Linked DNA regions of Schizosaccharomyces pombe. Changing the gene in region 1 together with any one later gene gives a genetic interaction. Each region holds a gene or a part of one and is shown on either strand. Other genes may lie near its edges.

The links.
Region 2: mutations in klp2 (region 1) and plt1 together harm fitness more than expected from each alone (negative genetic interaction), as found in Schizosaccharomyces pombe (one large-scale study listed by BioGRID).

The regions. Positions count from the first base shown.
Region 1 is NC_003424.3:1,720,055-1,725,523, forward strand, and holds klp2 (kinesin-14 family minus-end directed microtubule motor Klp2), read left to right. Parts: upstream 1-1,899; 5' UTR 1,900-1,940; coding exon 1,941-1,970; exon of another isoform or gene 1,971-2,015; coding exon 2,016-4,439; 3' UTR 4,440-4,848; downstream 4,849-5,469. Other genes in the region: gamma-glutamyltranspeptidase Ggt1, read left to right, coding at 1-1,334. UniProt on the Schizosaccharomyces pombe protein: Minus end-directed microtubule (MT) motor that is involved in spindle microtubule shortening, kinetochore capture, and polarization of cytoplasmic microtubules. During mitosis, promotes spindle microtubule shortening by depolymerization.
Region 2 is NC_003423.3:3,385,700-3,391,070, forward strand, and holds plt1 (phosphate transporter), read left to right. Parts: upstream 1-1,918; 5' UTR 1,919-2,000; coding exon 2,001-2,017; exon of another isoform or gene 2,018-2,063; coding exon 2,064-2,108; exon of another isoform or gene 2,109-2,163; coding exon 2,164-2,184; exon of another isoform or gene 2,185-2,332; coding exon 2,333-4,853; downstream 4,854-5,371. Other genes in the region: diphthamide biosynthesis protein Dph1, read right to left, coding at 220-1,326, 1,415-1,618; mitochondrial F1-FO ATP synthase peripheral stalk assembly factor Ina17, read left to right, coding at 5,269-5,370.

The DNA.
Region 1 (5,469 bases):
GTGGTCTTTCCGTTGCCGTCCCTGGTGAAATTGCTGGCTACGAGCGTGCTTGGAAAATGTATGGCTCTCTACCTTGGCATAAGTTGTTTGAACCAACCATACGTCTTATGAGAGATGGAATGCCAATGCCCAAGGAACTTGCGTCTCGCATCAGACGACCCGAGTTTTCCTATTTCAAGACTCATCCAGATTGGTCTAAAATATTTGCTCCAGAAGGTGTTTTTTTACACGTTGGAGAAAAGTTTTATCGGCCTGCTCTAGCGTCTACCCTCGAAGAAATAGCTAAGTTTGGTCCTGAAGTGTTTTACACAGGAAAAATTGCAGAAAGGCTTGTAAAGTTTGTTCAACAGCAAGGAGGTATACTAACCATGGAGGATATGGCCAATTTTTCAGTTGTTGTGGAGGAACCTATTTATGGTAACTTCTATGATCGTGAGGTTATTACTTGTGGATCCCCTTGTAGTGGAGAGGCTTTGATTTTAGGTTTAAATGTTCTTTCAAAAGTAGATTTAAGTGAAGGTACTTCTATCCTTGGTTGTGAAATGACGGATATTGGCGTGCACCATCTAATTGAAACAATGAAATGGATGTCCGCTGGACGGACTGTATTAGCAGACCCAACTTTTTACAATAATACAGATCATGTTGAACAGTTACTTTCTTTGGAATATGCTGATGAAATTCGCAATAATATTTCTAACGAGAGGACTTTTGATTTTACTCACTACAAGGCCGAATACGATTTCCCTAACGATCACGGCACTACTCATCTTTCCGTTATCGACAAAGACAATATGGCAGTCGGACTCACAGCTTCTATCAATTTGATGTTTGGTTCACAACTTTTGGAACCTGAAACGGGTATTATACTGAATGATCACATGGACGATTTTGCTTCTCCAGGAATAGTGAATGCTTTCGGTTTGAGTCCATCGCCATACAACTTTATTGCCCCTGGTAAGCGACCACAAAGCTCCGCGGTGCCTACGATTTTGGTATATAATGGTGAAGTTGAAATGGTTCTTGGTGGTAGCGGTGGCAGCCGAATCGTGACAGCTGTGTTAGACACAATTATTAAAAAATATAAATGGGGCAAGTCATTGTTAGAATCTGTTGAGAGTCCTAGATTTCATCATCAGCTAATGCCTAATATCGTCTATATCGATGAAACTGTTGAAATTGAAGTTCTTAGAGCTTTAGAAAAGTTTGGTCATATAGTGGATTTAATCCCCGTTCAATATCCTTTCAGTGAAATTCAAGCTGTTTTCCGCACCAACGGCACATTGTACGGTTTAAGTGATAGCCGAAAACAGGCTGTTGCTGCTGCCTATTAAAATTTCACTAAATTATTAAAAAAAACTCCTTAGACGCTCACAAAATTTTCCTTTATTTGTTGTTATTAATTTATCAGGTTTATTAACTTATTCTCAATCTTTATGTGCTTTTTACTGATCTTTAGCTTGTGGCTGGGATGAGAGAAAAATATTATAAAGCATAAAACGTATGAATGATCACTGTCTACATATTTGTGCACATGATGGTGATGATTGGACCTTCGTTAGTTAGATAGATTACATTCTTTCCTAGATTTAGAAAGTTTTAGCAAAACGAAGAACAATTACATTTAACTTTCGAATTTATTCTAACCGTAACATAATATATCTTCATACTTTAAACGTAAAACAGTAAAATATTTCTTTCGATGTACGAATGGCAAATATTCCTTTACTAATTAAAAATACTTTACTGTGTTAATTAATACTAAATCATTAAATTGAATTAAAGATTCACATAATATCGGATATTTGCTTTTGACCTTCGTGGTCCATGGAATACCACCATACAAATTGTTGAATAGTGAACTTTTGATTTAAGCTTATGAAACTCAACTTCTCTAACACCTTACAATACCCACATGTTTTTGGGGAAAAGGAGAAAGTATGGAAGAAGAAGGACATAAAAGTTTAACTGTAAGAACAAATTTAAGTGTAATTTATTAATTTTTTTCCTTATAGTCGCATCTACCTCAGTCCTCGAGTTCTTTGTCGCAAAGTCGAGAAATTGCTAAAGAATTTACGTCTAATATACCTCCTCCGACTATTAAAACTAATTCATCTTCATCAAATATTCTGAAACCTCGGTTATCATTGCAAAATGAAGTTAACCAACTGAAACCTGCTAAATTTCCCAGTAAGATGTTACCACCAGGAAGCTTAGCCTCGGTTAAATCTTCTAGTCTTGCAAAAAAAGCCAGGCCTTTTACCGCGTCCTCTAATCCCAGGATGCCCAAGTCTGCACATCCCATTTCAAGTCGGTCAGTGTCTGCTTCTTCTCATTTTGGTAGACCTGCCAGTGCTGTTTCATCCAGTTTAAATAGTAGCGATGATGTGAGAAGTATGTCAGATGAAAGTATGGAATCTTATAATGATGAAAAGTCTGTTAATGCCAGCGCCTTAAGGACTACAGAAGACCGGTTGAGGAGTATGGAAATGGCTTATGCTCAATTATCGGCTAAAGTTATTCCTTCACCCTCAAAAAGACCAGCTAATTACAAATTTTACGAACAGAGAATTGCTATGCTTGAAGAATCATTAGAAGTCGAGAGGAGTCGTACATCGGAGTTACAAGAACAATTTTCAGTGGCTCTGAGAGAAAAAGCTGAGGCGGAGGCTAATAAAATCGTTTCTCAAAAGGGTATGGAGAGTTTGGAGATAATGTTAAACTCAATGAAAAGTGAAAATCATCAGCGCATGGCCATGTTGGAAGAGAACCATGCTCGGGTGATGGAGACAGCTGAGCTTCAGCATCAAGCAGAATTACAGGATTTTGCTTCCAATATTGAACAAAAAGCAAATAGTTTAATCATGGAGTACAAAAATGAATTGCAGTCTGCCGAAGAACACTTTTCACACAAGATTAAAGAGCTTACTTCAGAAAATGAACTCAAAATTTCCAGACTACAAGAGGAAAAGGATTCTTTATTAAAGAAAGTTCAGGAGGGCGCTTCGCTGGCTATGCAACGTGTCCAAAATAAGCATGATCTAGAAAAAAAAAGACTGCAATCTGCAATTCAACCGCTTCAGGAAGAAAATAATTCTTTGAAACAGCAGATTGAACAATTACAAAGAGAACTTGCTTCTGAAACAGTTGTTAAGGAAAATCTGAAATCTTCGTTGGACCAACAAAGTGCCAACGTTCAGAAGCTTGAATCTACAAATCGGGCTTTAGAAAGCACTATCAAAACACTTGAAGAAGATGTTTATACTATGAAAAATAAGATTATAGAACTAGAAGGCATTTTAAAATCTGCCAATGTTGAGAGAGACGGTTTAGTTGAGAAACTCATAGCTGAGGAAACTCTGAGAAGAAAACTCCATAATACCATTCAAGAACTTAAAGGTAACATACGCGTTTTTTGTCGAGTGCGACCTCCCCTTGGCGATGGAGAATCAGCACAAATAGCTTTTCCTGATCAAAATTCCGAAGCTAGTACTATAGAGATTGTTGCTCAAGCCCCAGGGTCTTCGTTAACAGGGAACGGGATAAAACAGTATGCCTTTAATTTCGATCGTGTATTTTCCCCTGAAACGACTAATGAGGATGTATTTAATGAACTGTCACAGTTAATTCAAAGTGCTATGGACGGATATAATGTTTGTATATTCGCTTACGGTCAAACAGGTTCAGGCAAGACGCATACGATGTCTTCAAATACAGGAATGATCCCTTCATCTGTAAGAATGATATACAATCGCTCTACTTCTTTGAAAGAACGAGGTTGGGAATATCGGATGGAAGGACAATTTCTAGAAATATACAATGAAACCATTATTGACCTTTTAGCCTCCGGAAATGAAGAAGAGAAGGGAAAGAAAAAACTGGAGATATATCATGACACGAAGGCCGGAAGGACGACTATTACCAATATAACCAGCGAACCGTTAGACACACCTGAGCAGGTAACCTGGTTGTTAGATCAAGCTTCGAAGAACCGTTCTGTTGCGGCTACCAATGCTAATGAACATTCCTCAAGATCGCATTCAGTTTTTATGCTACACTTGAATGGAAGCAATTCTACGACAGGTGAAACATGCAGAAGTACGCTTAATTTGATTGATCTGGCTGGATCCGAAAGACTTTCGAGTAGCCAAAGTGTGGGTGAACGTTTGAAGGAAACGCAGGCAATCAACAAAAGTTTAAGTTGTTTAGGAGATGTAATACATGCTTTGGGAAGTGGAAAGGAAGGAACGTACATTCCGTATCGAAATTCCAAGCTGACTAATTTGTTACAATATTCGTTGGGAGGAAATAGTAAAACTCTCATGTTTGTCAATATTTCCCCACTAAAACAGCATGTTCCCGAAACATTATGCAGTTTGAGATTTGCAACAAAGGTAAATAATACTCAAATTGGCACAGCACGCAAAGTCACAAAATGAACGGAAAGCACCAACAGGATGGCTTGAGGATTGTTGTTTATAAGGAGAGCTGTCTTTTCCGTTTTTGTAAAATATACAGATCTGTTTGCTCTCTTTTGTATACTTTGAAAATAATTTTTATGGGCCTATAAAGAACCACAAGTCAGAACTATTATCGTTTTAATGGACGTATACATACAAGTAAGCGTTCATTTCCAACTCACTCTTTTTTTTTATATATTCGAATACGCTCTTTAGGTTATATGTGTTCTTTCCTTTGAATGTTTTCAAATTTTACCATTATATTTTATGTTTTCTATAATAGTATTGAGCAAATATTTTCTTTTATGACTAGACCCTAATGACATTCCAACTTACTTAGTACGGTGGTTTATAATTCGCTCAAAATGAAGTCATATCTCATAAAGTATGTTCAAAAGTATAGTTAATCTTAGAAAGTAACTGACTACAAAAATTGTTCCAAGTGACTTTTGGATGAAGCAAAGGTGAGCAATTAAATTTCACAGATGAATTACATTTAGGAGAAAAGATCAAGTATCCAAAAATATAATATTACTAGCTATTTTTTTTTTCTCAAACTTGGCAGTTCCTTTAATTCTCTCTTGATAATAAAAATATTAGAAATTCTACTACCCACTGTATATTTTATTCCTTTCGGAATGTTCTTCAGATTGACCCAAGAAATATAGAATAAGCTAAAATTAACAGATTATACTTTATTTTCTTTAATAATTGTACTAATTTCGGTTTCTTAATTGCTACTTAATCCACTTAGTGGGATTATAGGAATTTCCATAAATTTTCCACTGCCAATCTTGAATACATTTCCTTTTTTTCTCTTTCATTTGAATGCTTCTATCCCTTTTCAGTAAATACTGAGGTGGCATTTTTCTATATCTTGCCAATAGTCCAATTCTTTTCCATTTGTTTATCAAATACTGAATTATAACGAGAGCAACATTAAGCATTTTTATCATGTAACCACAGGCTTCTTAAAACGGTTTAGTACCGTATTACTGCAAACCTTCTT
Region 2 (5,371 bases), on another chromosome or scaffold:
TACTTTACAACATGTAGGGCTGGTTACTTATAAATTTCCTTAAAATGAGGGACGCGCCTGCCGGTGCATAGTTTAAATATAAATATATTAAAGCAGTAGTTTATGTAATACATATTGTATTTATCAGATGAGAATTCTATTGGTATTTTAATAAACCTATAAAGAACAATATAAGGGTTAAAAAATAACAAGTATTAGTGCCATTAATGGCAAGTAGCGTTAAGAAGAAACGGGTCCGGTTTTTTTGCGATTTGGCAGAGGTCGATTTTCGGGATTATTTGGAGTCCAATTACCTAATGAATTGGTAGCGTAAAAGTCCATAGGATAAACTTCCTTCCAAGGAACAACATTAAAAGCAGCAGATGCTTCATATGGTGTCAACAATGGAGCGGGAAATGCATAGCCCCAATCTATGGAAAGCCTTGGACAAGCGACCTGAATCCACGCGTCAATATCAGAGAATTGACCCAATCTACTAGGAAAAATTTCTGACATTAAAACGCAAACGAAATCTTTATTATTTTTCCTTAAAGTATTCTTTAAATTTTCGAGTACCTTAGGAGACCCCTGTCGACCCAGTGTACCTTGAATTAGACCGAACTTTTTAGCGGTACGAGCTTTCTCAACGGCGGAATACCGAATAGATTTCATTTCTTCATGAGCATAAGATTCAATAGAGAGCTTATGTGAGTAAGGATCATAGCGGTATGCGGGCAAATCAGGATTAGCAATCATGACAGATTCCAAATGGAATCTTCCGTCACCAATGTAAATTAATGCATCTACAGATCCTTTTTCAATATAGGGAGATGTACATCCCAACGCCTCTCCAGGAGATAATGGCTTTGCTTGTGGAATAACAACGTAAAAACCTCCCTTTCCGTCTTCATCCTGTATTTGCAAAGCGTCTTTTATAGAGTTGAGAGATCCAACAAATTGGATAGTTCCAACCAAAGCTAACCTAGAATTGGAGGGTAGATTATGTTTTAAAGATGATACGACATGTTGCAAATCTATCTTTATATCCACGAAAACATATAGCACCTTTATGGGCGTTTGATCAACAGGTATAAGACAAGAATGACCATAGTGTACTAAAAAATCGCAATCGAGTGCCCTAGCTGTAAAATCGTCAATACAACACGCACCGTATGTAACGTCGCCCATCACAATTGTCTCGACCTGGCAAAATTGTTCAAAAATATCAGACAATATACAACCAAACATCAATAGCCCCTCGGGAAGTTGCAAGGCAACACGTTTTGCTTTTCGTAAGCGAATATGCCAAATGGTTTTGTGAATTTCAAAATTGTAATTTTGCGGTAACTATTAAAGGTTAGCTGACCAAGCTTTGATGTTTTTGAGAAAAGAAGAAACTAATTTACGGCATCTTTCTCTAATAAAAGCAGCTTACCAATTTTATAGCTTCATTAATTGCTTTATCGTTTAATATATCCTCTGGGATTTGAGTAGCTACTCGTCCAGCGCTCCTCTTGGAGTTAATAGTGACGAGAGCAGCATTTTCAACATCTCTATTAGAACCATCCAAATTATTTTCCTTCCTATTTTTTTTGCCAACAAAACGACGTTTTGGAATTGATTTTTTCACTTCCGCCATTGTGTTTTAAAATTATAAAGTCTATTACTAAAACCCTTTGAAATCCCAAGAAGTAACCAATGCTATGTATGTATTTAAATTGATAGAATGCCAAAAATCCTTTTTCCCTGCAAATTGCTTGTTTGTTAAATTAAAATACAATAGGATCCCAAATAATTTACTAAGTAAAAAAGCATTGCACTTTGCTATATTATTTAACACACGTTGTTATATTACGCTATTTCTATCGGAGGTTGGATCCACGAATACAGCTTCACCTCCGATCATAGGCCACGAAATTTGAACGGCTAACGCTCCTTTAGATTGTTCCAAATTAATTTGCGTGAATAAGCTAAAGCTGTTTTTAGTCACAATTGAAGTTAAATGACCTCTGTCATCCAAGATGAAATTCAGTCATAGGTTTGTTGCATCAGTTTTCACAAGACTTGTTCTAATTACTTTTTAGTCTTCAATTTAATGCAGTACCGGAATGGTCCGAAAGCTACATTGCGTAAGTAAACAACCTGTTGGATTACTTCCGATTTTTGCTAACAATCGGTGCTTAGTTACTCGAACCTTAAGAAGCTGTATGTTTGAAAATTCTCGAGCTTACGACTGGCTATTATGATATATCCTATATTCCGACAAATTCATACTTGCGAAATTTGGGATAATGTCTGATTAACAGCCGGAGAATAAAATTGTACTTGAATTTTGCTAACATATATTTTTAAGTATTTATTCATTGGAACATGAACAGATAACATTACAACAAGGCGCTCCAGATGAAGAAACTAGGCTGTTAGAGCACGAAAGAAGATCACCCGATGATCGCTTTATGTTTGCTTTAGACAAGGAATTACAAGGAATTGTTGAATTTTATGCTCCTAAAGAAAAAGAAATTGCTGATCAGTATGGTAGAATTAAGGGCGAATTTGAAACCTATGAGAATGAGTATATGAGTCAGGGAAACAACATTAATTACCCTACCCCTGAACGATTACAAAAGAGCTCAGCGAGTAGGAAATCTGGTCGTATGGCCCGCAGCCAAGAATTGCCTCGCATTACTTCTTCAAACCGTGAGATATATCTCAATGGGCAAACTAGTGATGGAGGTTATGCGGCCCCTGCTATATCTAGAGCAGAATCTACTGCTATTCAACCGTCTGAACCTCATGATGTCGATACTTCTAAAAACGGTTTATCAAAAAAACAACATTCAGAAGCTCAACCTGAGGTACAAGGCAATGATGATGAGGTGGAGGAGGAAGATGATGATGATGATGATGAAGATGAGGACGAAGATGAAGACGAAGATAACAACAATAACAATCGATGGTTGCTTATTGAACAATATCCATCTGATATTGTTGCGTACGAAAACTTCGTTTCTTTAAAGCGAAAACTGACACAGTTGTATGTTTCAATTCATGACTTGATTTCGTACGTCCATCTTAATTATACTGGTTTTTCAAAAATCTTAAAAAAATATGATAAAACTTTGGGTAGTAGCCTTCGTGAATCGTACATGAAGCGCGTCAACCAAGCTTACCCTTTCCTTCCTGCTACTGGGAAAACATTGTCAAAGCGTTTAAATATTGTTGCAGAGTGGTATGCTAAGCTATGCTGTCAAGGCGATACATTTGTGGCTATCCGTCGCCTTCGTGGTCATCTTCGTGAATACGTTGCATGGGAAAGGAACACTATTTGGCGTGAAATGATGGCTATGGAGCGTCGTACTCAGGCCGCGAGATTATCAGGACTGAAGCCTGTCGCAGCTGATGAGAAAGAATCAGAACAGCCCCCCTATTTTACAATCAAAACTAAATTTGGTGTTTTTAGAATCCCAAGATGCTTCTTTAATAGCACGATTGCAACTTTAATTACTATTATCGTTATATTTATTCTCTTATTAAGTTTTCCTGTCATAGATAATAGGGAACAGAACAATTGTTTGGCTTTGTTAGTAATGGTTTCTTTATTATGGGCTACGGAGGCTATTCCTTTGTTCGTTACTTCGTTTTTGGTTCCTTTTATGACTGTGTTTTTGAAAATTTTGAGAGATGAGAACGGTTCACCTCTTTCTGGAAAGGAATCAACAAAGGTTATATTTAGTTCGATGTGGAATCCAACTATAGTTTTGCTTTTAGGAGGTTTTACCATTGCAGCTGCTCTAAGCAAATATCATATTGCTAAAAGGTTGGCGACTTCCATTTTAGCGCATGCAGGGCGTAAGCCTAGAAGCGTGCTTCTTACAAACATGTTCGTTGCCATGTTTGCTAGTATGTGGATTAGCAACGTTGCTGCGCCAGTGTTGTGTTTTTCTATTATTCAGCCCCTTCTGAGAAATTTACCAGCAGAGTCCGATTTTGCAAAGATACTAATTGTGGGTATTGCTTTGGCATCTAATGTTGGAGGTATTGCTTCGCCTATTTCATCCCCACAAAATATTGTTGCGCTACAGAATATGGATCCCGCTGCGGGATGGGGTGAATGGTTTGCCGTCAGTATTCCTGTATCGTTACTGTGTATATTTTCTATATGGTTTCTGTTGTCTTTTGGATTACTGAAAGATGAGCACATCACTTTAGCTAAAATTCGCTCCACCAAGGATACATTTACTGGTGTCCAATGGTTTATTTCCATTGTTACGATTGGTACTATAGTCCTTTGGTGCCTTGAACGCCGCTTCGATGAGGTGTTTGGTGATATGGGTGTTATTGCATTAGTCCCAATCATTGTATTCTTCGGAACAGGTTTGTTAACCAAGGAGGATTTTAATAATTTTTTGTGGACAGTCATAGTTTTGGCAATGGGAGGTGTTGCGTTAGGAAAAGTAGTGTCTTCTTCCGGCCTTTTAGAACTTATTGCCCTTAAAATAGGTAATGCTGTTTCTTCCCTTAATACATTTAGGGTACTGCTTATTTTTTCTGCTTTGACTCTTGTTGTTTCTTCATTTATTTCTCATATAGTAGCTGCAATGGTGGTACTTCCCATTGTCCATGAAGTTGGAAGTCGCCTTGCCGATCCTCATCCACGTCTTTTCGTTTTGGCTTCGGGAATGATGTGTAGTCTTGCTATGGCTTTGCCAACCAGTGGTTTTCCTAATATGACAGCTATCATGATGGAAAATGAAGCTGGCAAAAGATATTTGAAAGTTAGTGACTTTTTAAAAGCTGGTATTCCTGCCACACTAATTTCCTTCGTGATTCTCCTATTAATTGGAACACCAATCATGCGAGCACTTGGATTTTAACCTCCTAATTTGTAAACGGTACTGTATCTTTCTTTTTATAATTTTTGAGTCGAAGCATGTTCTGCTGCATAACACATTCATATTTGTCAATTCTACTTAAATAGATTTTAAATCATTGCATTCGAAGATAAAATTATGGTAGCTTAGTGTTCCTACGGATCTTAATGTATTTATATGTTCACTTTATAATACGATACAAAACAAATTTTATCTCTCCTTTGTTTCAAATTGACTGGCAAAAAAAAATAACAAATAACTAATCACAAAAACCTAAGGAATATGAAAAATAGTTGCTAATTTTCGTAGAAACTTGGATCTTGATTAGAAATGAACCAAATTATGCATCATTCAAATAGATTGTAGTGTGTATGGTGCAGCGGGAACGTTATAATTAACCATCACCTATAGTCTCAAAATGTTACGCAAATTGCCCATCAATTTTGCGAAATGGACTGTAAAAAAGGTGCCAGTTCAGCAGAAAAGATTTAATAGTCAACAAAAAGAAATCTCACCTCATG